Linked DNA regions of Mus musculus. The protein of the gene in region 1 binds, or shares a complex with, the protein of each later gene. Links are inferred from orthologs where the notes say so. Each region holds a gene or a part of one and is shown in the gene's direction. Other genes may lie near its edges.

The links. Proteins that work in one complex are often made in the same cells at the same time.
Region 2: Sf3a3 (region 1) and Sf3b1 share a complex: the UniProt entries of both Homo sapiens proteins name them as parts of the 17S U2 SnRNP complex. The link is inferred for Mus musculus from reciprocal best matches to the Homo sapiens genes SF3A3 and SF3B1.
Region 3: Sf3a3 (region 1) and Sf3b4 share a complex: the UniProt entries of both Homo sapiens proteins name them as parts of the 17S U2 SnRNP complex. The link is inferred for Mus musculus from reciprocal best matches to the Homo sapiens genes SF3A3 and SF3B4.

The regions. Positions count from the first base shown.
Region 1 is NC_000070.6:124,728,331-124,731,867, forward strand, and holds part of Sf3a3 (splicing factor 3A subunit 3), read left to right. Parts: coding exon 1-99; intron 100-1,128; coding exon 1,129-1,219; intron 1,220-3,040; coding exon 3,041-3,096; intron 3,097-3,363; exon of another isoform or gene 3,364-3,472; intron 3,473-3,537. UniProt on the Homo sapiens protein: Component of the 17S U2 SnRNP complex of the spliceosome, a large ribonucleoprotein complex that removes introns from transcribed pre-mRNAs.
Region 2 is NC_000067.6:55,024,664-55,028,779, reverse strand, and holds the start of Sf3b1 (splicing factor 3B subunit 1), read left to right. Parts: upstream 1-1,301; 5' UTR 1,302-1,413; coding exon 1,414-1,441; intron 1,442-4,116. UniProt on the Homo sapiens protein: Component of the 17S U2 SnRNP complex of the spliceosome, a large ribonucleoprotein complex that removes introns from transcribed pre-mRNAs.
Region 3 is NC_000069.6:96,171,064-96,175,320, forward strand, and holds the start of Sf3b4 (splicing factor 3B subunit 4), read left to right. Parts: upstream 1-1,442; 5' UTR 1,443-1,510; coding exon 1,511-1,544; intron 1,545-1,907; coding exon 1,908-2,036; intron 2,037-2,477; coding exon 2,478-3,020; intron 3,021-3,259; coding exon 3,260-3,466; intron 3,467-4,257. Other genes in the region: Mtmr11 (myotubularin-related protein 11), read left to right, coding at 23-169. UniProt on the Homo sapiens protein: Component of the 17S U2 SnRNP complex of the spliceosome, a large ribonucleoprotein complex that removes introns from transcribed pre-mRNAs.

The DNA.
Region 1 (3,537 bases):
TGGCTGTACAAGCTCCACGGCCTGAATATCAACTACAACTGTGAGATCTGTGGGAACTACACCTACCGAGGGCCCAAGGCCTTCCAGCGGCACTTTGCGGTAAGGAGTTGAAAGCCACTGTTCTTGGGAACTAAGTAGAAACACACCACTTTAGAAAGAGAAGAGGACGGGAGCAGCCTGTGAGGGCCATTGGTGTCCAGAGCTGAAAGGCATCAGAGGCTGGGTTGGCGGCTGTAGCCCCGAAGCCTGGGCTGCTCTCTGGAGCTGCTGCCACTCTGCTGTGGAACGTGGGTTTGGCTTTCCCATGCTCGTCCTTGTACCTTTCCCTCCTGTTTTTCTGCAGCATCTTGGATCATTTCTGGCTTTTGGTCATTTCTCTGCATTGTTATTTAAGGGGGCTGGGCAGGTTTTGATTTTTTCAAGTTTTAAATGGGCCCTTGCTTCTTTGCAGAAGAAGTAAACTAAGCTTTGATATTTACCAACCTGTTGTTGACACGAGTAGAGTCTGAGTACCACCTCGTCGGTGGGCTCACCCTTGCTGCATTCTGCCCTTCACTTTTGGAGGGCAGTTACATAATGGAAAAGACATTCCGTATTAGACAAACATGGCAAGTGATGTGAGCTTCCCTCTCAGACCTGTTACCAGCTGCTCCCAGGTCCTTTCTCTGGGTCCCTGAGTGGCCTCTGAACTTTTCTTAGCTGGGTGGGGTTAGTGTCCAGGGTTAAGCCTGTGCTAGCTTTCTCTAAGACCTGAAGCTGTGGATTCATCTCGCTCTCCCTGCTCCTCCATCCTCCATACCTGCTCAGCAGTTTGCTCCTGAGCCTCCAGAAATGCCAGTCTGCCCTCACGGCCCCGCAGGGGTTTCTGGGTTGTGCCAGCTTCTGCCTAGCACCGAGTGACGAGTCCCAGGCATACTTCTCTGACACCACTAACCCTAGAACCTGAAGTTTGTCCACCTGAGATAGTGCAGCACTGCTTGGCAGTGTCGGCCTGTGTCAGTCCCAGCCCGCTGTGTAGACACACCCCAGAAGGAGTGCTGCCTTTCGCTGGGGTAGGGTCTATGGTAGAATGAAGTGGGTGCTGCCTCAGCCATCCCTGTTTCATGCTGTCCCTCTCCTTCCCTCCAGGAGTGGCGTCATGCTCATGGCATGAGGTGTTTGGGCATCCCAAACACTGCCCACTTTGCAAATGTGACACAGATTGAAGATGCTGTCTCCTGTAAGTAAGCTTGCCGACTGTTTCCCTAGCCAGACCAAGTAGCCGCTCCTACAGCTGTCCTAGAACCCTGCTGTCTCCAGGCCCAAGAGCAGGGGTTGTGGCTATAGAAAGCTAAGGCACACATATAATTACTGCATTTTTTATGGGAGCGAGCAAGTCAACAGTACTGATTATATCTCCTTGAAAAGAACCCTATGCTGAGGTTAGAACAGGGTCTTTAGCCTGAATCTATGAGCTTTCCTCTCTGGAGCATTCTGAGAGAGTTATTTGTTACTCTTCTGAAGAGACTTTAATGTGTTCAGAACCACTGATCCAGAAGGAAACAGAAGTGGCTCCATGCTCAGATTCCTCAGAGAGTGACAGCAGCGACGTACTCATTGGAGGAAGGGCCGGGGGTGGGGTGGGGTACGGCAGGGGAATGTGTGCCAGGTGCTTCACCTTGCCTGGCAGCCTCTGCTACTGACACCTTACTACAGGCTCCTTCTCATCCTTACTGCAGGCTCCTTCTCATCCATCTCTGTTAAGTTTCACTTCATGTGAGCCAGACAGTTGGTTTTATTTATTGATGGGTTTGGTTTGGTTTGGTTTTGTTCTAGACAGAGTCTCACAATGTAGCTTGCCTGTCCTGGAACTCACTCAGTAGACAAGGCTGGCCTCAAACTCAGAAATCCGACTGCCTCTGCCTCCCAAGTGCTGGGATTAAAGGTGTGTGCCACCACGCCCGGCTCATCTTACTTTCTTAAAACTTGCAGAACCACCTGCCCAGGGGTGTGGCAGCACCCACAGTGAGCTGAGCCATCCCGTGTCAGTCAGTAATCAAAGTGCAGCACAGCCGGGCAAGGTGGTGCACGCATTTAATCCCAGCACTCAGGAGGCAGAGGCAGGCGGATTTCTGAGTTCGAGGCCAACCTGGTCTACAGAGTGAGTTCTAGGACAGCCAGGGCTATACTGAGAAACCCTGTCTCGAAGAAGAAGGAAAAATAAAAAAAGAAAGTGCAATACTGAAAATCTGATGGGGTATTTTCTCACTTGACGTTCCAAACTAACCAGGACAGAGGCTGAGCATGGAAACAACTCCTTTAATCCCAGATCTCAGGTGACAGAGACAAGATCTCTGAGTTCCAGGATAGCCTGAGCTCGAGGACAACCAGGACTACATAGAGAAACCCTGTCTCAAAAAACAAAACAAGCTGGGCGGTTAATCCCAGCACTTGGGAGGCAGAGGCAGGCGGATTTCTGAGTTCAAGGCCAGCCTGGTCTACAGAGTAAGTTCCAGGACAGCCAGAGCTACACAGAGAAACCCTGTCTCGAAAAACAAAAACAAAAAAAAACAAGACAAAACCAAACCCTAAGCAGGACGCATGTGTGATGCCTTCTAAGCTATGATCCTGTTCATTTTATCCAAGTTTCTCCAGACTGCTCCACACTGCTTCTTTTGAGAGTGTTTCCTTTTTACTGTTGTAATCGTTTGTTTTGTTTTTGAGGCAGGGATATTCATTTAGCACAAACTGGCCTCAATCTCACTATGTAGCCAAGGCTAGCTTTAAGCTTCCTGATCCTTCTTCCTCTGTCTCCCAAATGCTGAGGTTACAGGTGTGTACATCACCCTGATTTCATGAGATTTTCTTTTACAGCAAGGTGAAATCATGATAAATTTCTCAATAAAAGTTTTATCTACAGGTAGTTCTAGATCAGAATTCCATTTGGGGGCTGGCAGTCATTAAAGGAACCTTCAGGGAGCTGGGCGGTGAGGGTGAGAATGACGTAACACTGCACAAGTGGACTGTGGGCCCTAATGACTGCTTATCTCCCATCCTGCAGTGTGGGCCAAGCTGAAACTGCAGAAGGCTTCAGAACGGTGGCAGCCTGACACCGAGGTGGGTGCTAATGTGGAGAGTGTTAGATGTGGCGTCAAGTGACAGCTTCCTCACCTTGCAGAGGAAATTCTCTGTACTAGCAAGTGTAATGAGACAGTGTCTACAAGGTGACTGTGTGAACCTGCTGCCATGCATCTAAGTCTTTGTCATCAGGCAGTTCTCCCACTGAGGACACCAGTCTCCTGTGCTACCCTAACGATTTCTAAAGAAGTCTGTCACTCTTAGGTCTCTGAGGAAAGCATCAGGTCAGAGGTAGTTCTCTCTTCAGAGTGGGGATGTGTCCTGGATGTTGGTCTTGACAGGTCTCAGAGGTGACTACCACACATTGAAGGGGTGGCGGTAACATCCTGGTCCTGTGGAGACTGTCATAGTCTCCTTTATTCTATGTCAGTATTTCAGTTCTGATTTTTCGCATCAAGAACCCTTTCAGCTACAGTGTAG
Region 2 (4,116 bases), on another chromosome or scaffold:
GCCTCCTGAGTGCTGGGATTAAAGGCGTGCGCCACCACGCCCAGCATGAAAAAATCTTATTTTTATAAAAGAGGATTCACAAGACAATTCTGGGTGATCTTTTAGTGATGTTTATCATTACTCTGGAACTCCAGGAAGTATTTAGCTTCTACAATTACCACAAATGCAGCAAATGCTCCTTTGAATCTGTTATAGAAATGATAAGCCTTCCCAGTGAGAAAGCATCCTGCACATTTGGAGGATAATAAAGGAAAAAGGTCTGGCACAGCTGGCTCTGGCTAATGCTCGGTAGGGCCAGCCTTGAATACATTTTGATAACTTAGAGACACCTTAGGCTTATTTTCTCCAAATATGAGGTTATCCTCAAATTTGTAATTTAGGTCCCAACCCTGGGTTACATTTAGTACAACTTAAACAGAGACAGAAGGCTGAAAATCTGGTCAATAGGTCACTCCTATTTGCCTGGTCATTTAGGCATCAGTTATTGCCAGAATTATTTTAAGTGCACCAGTGTTGTACTTTTTCAAATAGTTGTTACCTGGGGTCATCTTACCCATTTGGCAGAATTATGTTTCTCTCAAGAAAAGAACTGGGCTTTATTGTAGATCAGGACTTAACATTGCTTGTGACCCTATACTATTCCCTTGAGCTGCCTGTTAAGAGAAGTATTCTACCGTATCTAATGGCTGGTCAATACTGGTGAACCAACATTAACATCTTAGGCATCATAAACTTTATTTCTAACAGGCCTGGCTAGCATACTGTTTATTTTTTGGGTGTCTTGGAGGCAGTGTTCCTTTGGCTAAATTCTATTTTGTGTAATTTAATCTCTCTCTCTCTCTACTTTTTATTTTTGTTTTTTTCGAGACAGGGTTTCTCTGTGTAGCCTTGGCTGTTCTGGAACTCACTCTGTAGACCAGGCTGGCCTCGAACTCAGAATCTGCCTGCCGCTGCCTCCCAAGTGCTGGGATTAAAGGGGTGCGCCACCACTGCCAGGCTCCTTTGGTTTTATTAAAGACAGGCTTTGTCTGTACAGCCCTGGCTTCGGGAACTCTCTTTGTAGACCAGGCTGGCCTCGAACTGCCTCTTCTCTTCCGAGTGCTTGAATTAACGGCACGTTACCCACCACTGGCCGGACAGGCTACAGCCCTCTTGGGAAGTAGCCATCCTCTTCCGCGTTTAGTCTTCCCCGCGGTTTCGCTGGCTTTTTAAGGAAGCCGCCGGGAGCCCGCCCTGGCCCCGCCCACTCCCATAATGCCCCTCGCAGTCTCATATAGGTGGCAGTTGAAGTACGTGCTACAGTGCGGCGCGCGCTCCCGGGTGCGCACGCTCAGAGAGCGGCCTCTGTTTCTGGCGGCGGCGAGCGGAAGTCCTTGGGAGCGCCAGTTCCGTCTGTGTGTTCGAGTGGACAAAATGGCGAAGATCGCCAAGACTCACGAAGGTAAGCGGCCTTTCCCTTCCCACGCGCGACCTCGGCAGCCAGCCAGCCGCGGCCCTCTCTCCTGGCTTTCTGCGTCTTCGCGTGGCATCTCTGGTCTCGACCGAGGCCGCGCGGCGAGGCCTGCTCGGCTCGTCGGCGCAGGCCGCTGCCCGCGTAATGGCGTCCTCTCGCACTCCGGGACCGGCGCTTTGTTCCGCGCTGGCTGTTGGTGCTTCCGAGTTCTCTTGTTCTGACCGGAGAGCCTCGCTCGAGCGGCTTGCCCCGGGGGACTCCCGGGGAGGGAGCGGGGAGGCGGACGTGGGAGGCCGACTTTCTCGCCCCCCGGGCGCTATCGTCGGCAGTTCGTACCTGGAAAGCCCTGAATGACGGCAGCCGCTTTCGGGCCGCTCCTAACGGAGGCCGCTTCAGCGCAGGCCTGCCAATCCCAGCCTTCGCGATACAGGCATCTCCAAGGCGGCTGGATCGTGTTGTGGTGCTTGCACTAAATGATTCCGGCAGAAAATCTGGTAGTTTACTCCTTTAATCACTTGTGTCCTGGTGTTCTATCTTTTTCCCTTTGAGAGCTAGGTGTTGGAGAATCAGGAGGAAGAGAGAAGGAAAGGCAGATTTGACCAGTTGCCAAAGTTTTCTGGGTAGTCGCTTATTTTATGCTGCACAAGAGTAAACAGAGCTAGAAACATGTTGAGAAGCAACCAGATTCCATAAGGAAAGTAACCAGAGAAGACGGGAAGGAATTTGAGTCTGAGAGACAGAATCCCTGTTTCTTGGCTCCCGGTTAAGAAGCCAAAATTTACGCTGACACTAAGTCACTAAACCCGTCCTTTCTAAGTGTGTGTCTCGGTGTTAGAGAGAGGTAACAAGCTAAGGATGTCAGAAATTTGACAGTTTGATGTGGAAGCAGATGTGTGAATATTCTCTTAGAAAATCAAAGGAATGTGTACAGAGAAGTAAAGCCAGTACTTTCTGAGAAGCTGGGTAACGGAGCCATTAATTTATGCTTAGTTATTTTTGGGAGGTGGTGACGCGGCGCTGATAAAAAAGGATCAATCAGTTTTAAATTAGGGGAGGATGTCTGAGCCGGAGGGAACATCTTGTACCATGCAGTGAGTGTCGCTGTGGTAGGATAGAGGAGGGTGTAAGGAGGGAATTCCGATGCGAATCTAAAGAGATGGTTTAGGACCAATAGCTGGGACATTTGAGGAACTGAAAATACTAACACTTTTGAAAGCCAGAAATGTCCCTGCATTAACTAGTCTTTTGTCTTTAAACATGAAAGTACAACACATGTTTTTGTTTTCTTTTTTGAGATAGTCTTACTATGTAATTCCGGTTGCCCTGAAACTTCCTGAATAGAGGAGACTGGGTCCCACTTCAAAGAAACTCATCCTCCTGCCTCTGCTTCCCAAGTGCTGGGTAAAAGGCCTGTGCCTGGTTAGCCCAACACTTTTTTTAAAAAAAAAGATTTATGTGAATACACTCTGTCACTGTCTTCAGACACACCAGAAGAGGGCGTCAGATCCTATTACAGATGGTTGTGAGCCATCTGTAATTGAATTGAACTGAGGACCTCTGGAAGAGCAGTCCAGCCCCTAGCCCAACACTTTTTAAAGCCAGAAATGTTTTTGGCCTCATTATTTATCTTTAGACTACTTCAGATATTGTTTGTAAAATAATTAGGAAATTGAATCGTGTCGCTGTTTTGTTCAGTCAGTGGTAGGTTATTTATTTTAATTGTTTTCCATTGTGGGGAACCAGTGAAATTATTGGACTTCCAGAGCATGGGGGAGGGGAAGTGCTTACTGAAGGAAAGCATGGTTTACTCCTTACTGGCTTCCTTATAGCTGCATAGGTAGAGTCCCATACCCTAATAGGTTATTGATTTATGGAGATTTATGGATATTTTGTAGCTTTGATTGTTGGCTTATTGATATCTTCAATGTAGCATACTCCCAGTTGGATAAATGCAAAGTTTATTTTATGTGCATTAATATTTTTGCCTGCATGTAACGTCTGTCTGAAGGTGTCAGATTCCCTGGAATTGGATTAAAGGACAGTTGTAAGATGCCACATGGGTGCTGGGAACTGAACCTAGGTCTTCTGGAAGAGCAGCCACTGCTCTCAGCTGCAGAGCCATCTTTCTGGCCCTGGTAAATGTAAAGTTTAGGGTCCTTTCCTCTTTCCTTTCCCCTTCCCTTCCCTTCCCTTCCCCCTCCCTCCTCCTTTCCTTTCCTTTTTCATTGTAGAAGCCCAGCTAAACTTGTTTTCAAAAATTGCAATTGCTTTTTTTTTTTTTTTTTTTTTGGTTTTCGAGACAGGGTTTCTCTGTGTAGCCCTGGCTGTCCTGGAACTCACTTTGTAGACCAGGCTGGCCTCGAGCTCAGAAAATCCGCCTGCCTCTGCCTTCCGAGTGCTGAGTTTCGATTTTTTTTTTGTAAAAATTGCTATTTTATTTAGGATTATTTTATTATTGAATTAATAAAAAATATTATAGAAGTATGTCACAATTTGGTATAAGGTCCCTCAGTATAAATCTTTATTGTCTTAGTCTTTTTTTGTTGTTGTGTTGTTGCTACGTTTGTTTGTTTTGAGACAGAGTTTCTCTCTGTAGCTCTGTCCTGGAATTTGCTCTGTTTATCAGTCTGGCCTAGAACTTTTTTTTTTTTTTTTAGACAATC
Region 3 (4,257 bases), on another chromosome or scaffold:
TGTGCGCTTTGCCCCTCCCCAGATGGGCTCCTCAGCTCTCACAGTCTCTGCCCTTCAGGATGAGCTTTCTCACCTTCAGGAACTGTTAAGACAATGGACACCAAGAATATCTCCCGAGGACCAGAGCAAGAAAAGAGATCCGAATACCATCCTCTCTCAGATCTGCTGAAACTGTTTGTTAGCGTCGTTCTCAGAGGCAGGGCAGGGGTCTCTGCTCATCTTCCTGTCTGACCTTGACGCCTCAGCTTTGGCATTCCAGTCTGCAGAGTTCACTTAGAAGGCCCGTTTCTGTAGCAGATGGTGGCGCTACCAACCTAAAGGTCTCCCGATTTGTTTGATTTCTGGGGCTATTTTCATTTCTTGTGATTTGAAAACTAAGAAACAAGACCAGTTCAGAATGTGATTGCCCCTTTTCCCAGGCAATTCTGTACCTTTTGGATGGCCGTCAAAACTGTGACATGAGAGACCCTTTTCATCAGTCCCAACAATGATGTCCTAGAGACCTCATTCGCAACCTCTCTACACTACTTTGAAATCTTTTCTTAGTCTTCTGTGGGAACGAGGTGAATAAGGGAGAAACCGTCTCCTCCCACTGTATATTTTCATAGCAGCGTTTCTATTTAAGGAGTTCATTAAAGCACAGTATTTCTACACATTGCTGGTATTTTCTTGTGTTGAATGAAGATCTCAGCAAAGCCGTGGGGGTGGAGGGGAGGGTGTGAACTGAGAAAAACACCCAAATTATTGTAAGGAAATAAAGGATCCAAGTCAGGCGTGGCCTGGAAGAAATACACATAAAATATGGGGGAAGGGGTCCGCACACCTTTTTTGAGACATGGTCTCTATGTGTCTATTAGGCCAGCTGGAACTCTGTTTTTTGAGACAGGTTTTCTGTGTGGCCATGGCTGTCCTGGAACTCGTTCTGTAGACCTGGCTGGCCTTTAACTCAAGAGATCCATGTCTGCTCCTTAAAGCTTCGATACCAGCCCGCAACCCAACCCGGTTTCGTGTCCCAGATTTCCCAAGATAAGCGGAGATTTGACACTTAGGGGAAAACAAAATACCTCAGGCTCAAGTCTAGGCCGAGGGCGAGTCTGCACGAGCGTCGTGGACCTCACTAAATAATAGGTCGCTCCAGAAGGCAGTCCTGGCCCTGCACTTAGGACACAACTCTGCGTCACAGAACGTACAAAGCCTGGTTTTGCACTTGAATGTGCGTTTGGGGAGCCGTGTGAGCCTCTAACAGTCTGGAAGCATCCGGGGCTTTAGTTAACTGTGTCGAGACGGGCTGAGCACATCCGTTCCGCCCCGACTACAGCAGCAGCCCTAGAGCGCCTTTCCCTTCCGAAAGACAAGACTCCGACCCCTAAGATGGCCGCGATCGCTTCCGGCTCCTCCCCCCCCCCCCGGCGCCGGCCCCGCCCAACGTGAGCCTTGGCCCGGAAGTGGAAGTTGTAACTGAGGTCAGGGGGCGGTGCTGCTGCTTAGAGACGGCGGGAGCCCCTTCGCCATGGCTGCCGGACCGATCTCCGAACGGAATCAGGGTAATTGGGAGAGAAGAGCCCAAGATAGGAGCAGGGAAGTGGAGGGAAGATTAGTGCCGGAAGCGTTCCCCCTGGGGTGGTAGACGAGATCCCCCCCGGTGGGACACCGACCTCTGGGCACCTGGCTGGCCGCGAGGCCGGGTGCAGGCCGAGGCCTGTGAGAAGCGATGCTTCTAGATCAGCTCCCTCCACCAAGAAGACAAAAGCCTCCCGGGAGTACCGGACCAGCAAGAATGCCAAATTAGACGTAGCAGATTTTCTAGATGATGGTGGCAGAGGGAATTTCAGGGCTTTAGGCGACGGTTTTTGGTTTTTGTCTTCTTTTTCACTGCCGACTCCTCATCGCCTGCTTCTTCCCTTTAGATGCCACGGTGTACGTGGGCGGTCTGGACGAGAAAGTGAGTGAGCCGCTGCTGTGGGAGCTCTTTCTCCAGGCAGGGCCAGTGGTCAACACCCACATGCCCAAGGACAGAGTCACTGGCCAGCACCAGGGTGAGTAGGGTACGGGGCAGGAATCAGCCCTGGAGAGGGTTAACCGGCCCCGAAGAGGCTCAGCCGCTAGGCACAGCGCCTTTGGAATGAGCAACCTAAAGATTGCTTTCTCCTTCAGCTTCAATTCCCAGTTTCTGGAATATTTTCTCTTAGCTCTAGTTTCTGGAACCATTCTCAACCATTCTCTGTGTAGTCCTGGCTGTCCTAGATCTTGCTCTGTAGACCAGGCTGGTCACGATCTTTGAGCTCCACCTGCCTCTGCTACGAAGTGGTGGCATTAAAAGCACGTGCACGTGCAGTCGCCCAGCTATTATCTATTATGTTCTTTGTGTTTGAAGGCTGGGGAGTTAATGTTTCATTTTGAGTCTCTTCCCCTGAATGATGGGTTTTTTTTGTTTGTTTGTTTTTTGTTTTGTTTTGTTTTTTTCATTGATTCCCCAGGCTATGGCTTTGTTGAATTCCTGAGCGAGGAAGATGCCGACTATGCCATTAAGATTATGAACATGATCAAACTCTATGGAAAGCCAATACGGGTGAACAAGGCCTCAGCTCACAACAAAAACCTGGATGTGGGAGCCAACATTTTCATTGGAAATCTGGACCCAGAAATTGATGAAAAGCTGCTTTACGATACTTTCAGCGCCTTTGGAGTCATCCTACAGACCCCCAAGATCATGCGGGACCCTGACACAGGCAACTCCAAGGGTTACGCCTTCATTAATTTTGCCTCCTTCGATGCTTCGGATGCAGCAATTGAGGCCATGAACGGGCAGTACCTGTGTAACCGTCCTATCACTGTGTCTTATGCCTTCAAGAAGGACTCTAAGGGTGAACGCCATGGCTCAGCAGCTGAAAGACTCCTGGCAGCCCAGAACCCGCTGTCCCAGGCTGACCGCCCTCACCAGCTGTTTGCCGATGCACCCCCTCCGCCCTCTGCCCCCAATCCCGTGGTTTCATCCCTGGGTTCTGGGCTTCCTCCACCAGGTACAGCTTGGAGTTCAGACTGTGCCAGTGAGGCTCTTGGGAGGGAGGCTCAGGAGGCAGAAGCAGCCCTGGTAGAGTAAGCTGCTAAGTTGTTGGGCAGTGAGACAGGAGTGAGGCGTGCTGGTGGAAGGGATGAAGTTGGCGGATGAAGTTGGCAGATGGAGTGAAGCTGAAGGGAAGCCTGCAGGGGGGAGGCTGGAGCTCTGCAAGACATTAACTGTCTTCCATTTCTTACACAGGCATGCCGCCTCCTGGCTCTTTTCCACCTCCAGTGCCACCTCCTGGGGCCCTCCCTCCTGGGATTCCCCCAGCCATGCCCCCACCACCTATGCCACCTGGGGCTGGAGGACATGGCCCCCCAGCAGCAGGGACTCCAGGGGCTGGACATCCCGGTCACGGACACTCACATCCTCACCCGTTCCCACCAGGTGGGATGCCCCATCCAGGTAAGGGCTCTGTGCTGGGAAGGAGCTGAGCTTGTGAGAGGGGCTTTCTTACTGTCTGTCCTGGTAGTCTTGGATGAAAATAGTCCAGAGTCCTCCTTTTCTTCAGAAACAGACAGTACTTTGTACGTGTTGGTGCTCCTGTTTTATCTCCAGTTCTTGTATTTCCTAAAGGATAGCTTGTACTGGGCAAAACTCTCAACCTCTCCTCTGCTTCCAAGGTTGCCAAATCTAGAAGACATTTCTGCTTTTGGCTTTTTGAGAAACGGGTTCTCTGTGTAGCTGGCAGTGTCAAACTCAGAGATCCTCTTGCCTCTGCCTCCCAAGTGCTGGGACTAAAGGCGTGCGTGTTTCTAGATTTCTCTAATGTCAACCATAGCAACCTGGATCGGCTCCTTTTTTTATGTTTGTGTAGATTTTTTGCTTGTTTCTCTTTTCTTTGTTTCTCTGTAGTGTTAAATGTGAAGGTGCTAATTTACCATTGGTCTCTGGTCTTAGGTTCTTGGCAGGCTAGAAAAGGCCACTGCTCAACCCACACTTAACTTTCCTCTTTCTGACACCATCTTCAGTAGTTCTCACTTGTAGGAGCCCAGTTTACAACTCTGGGGCTTTGTCTGTTCTGTCCTCCACTTTGCAGAGCAAGTCTAGCTTATGTTTTTGTCATTGGTCACAAGCCAGTGCTCAGACTGCACTCACTTCCTGTCACTGACTCAGGGACTCATCTACTTTCACTGAGTAACTTTTCCAGGGTATTCACAGACATTTTCTTCTTCTTTTGTTTTTTTTTTGTTTTT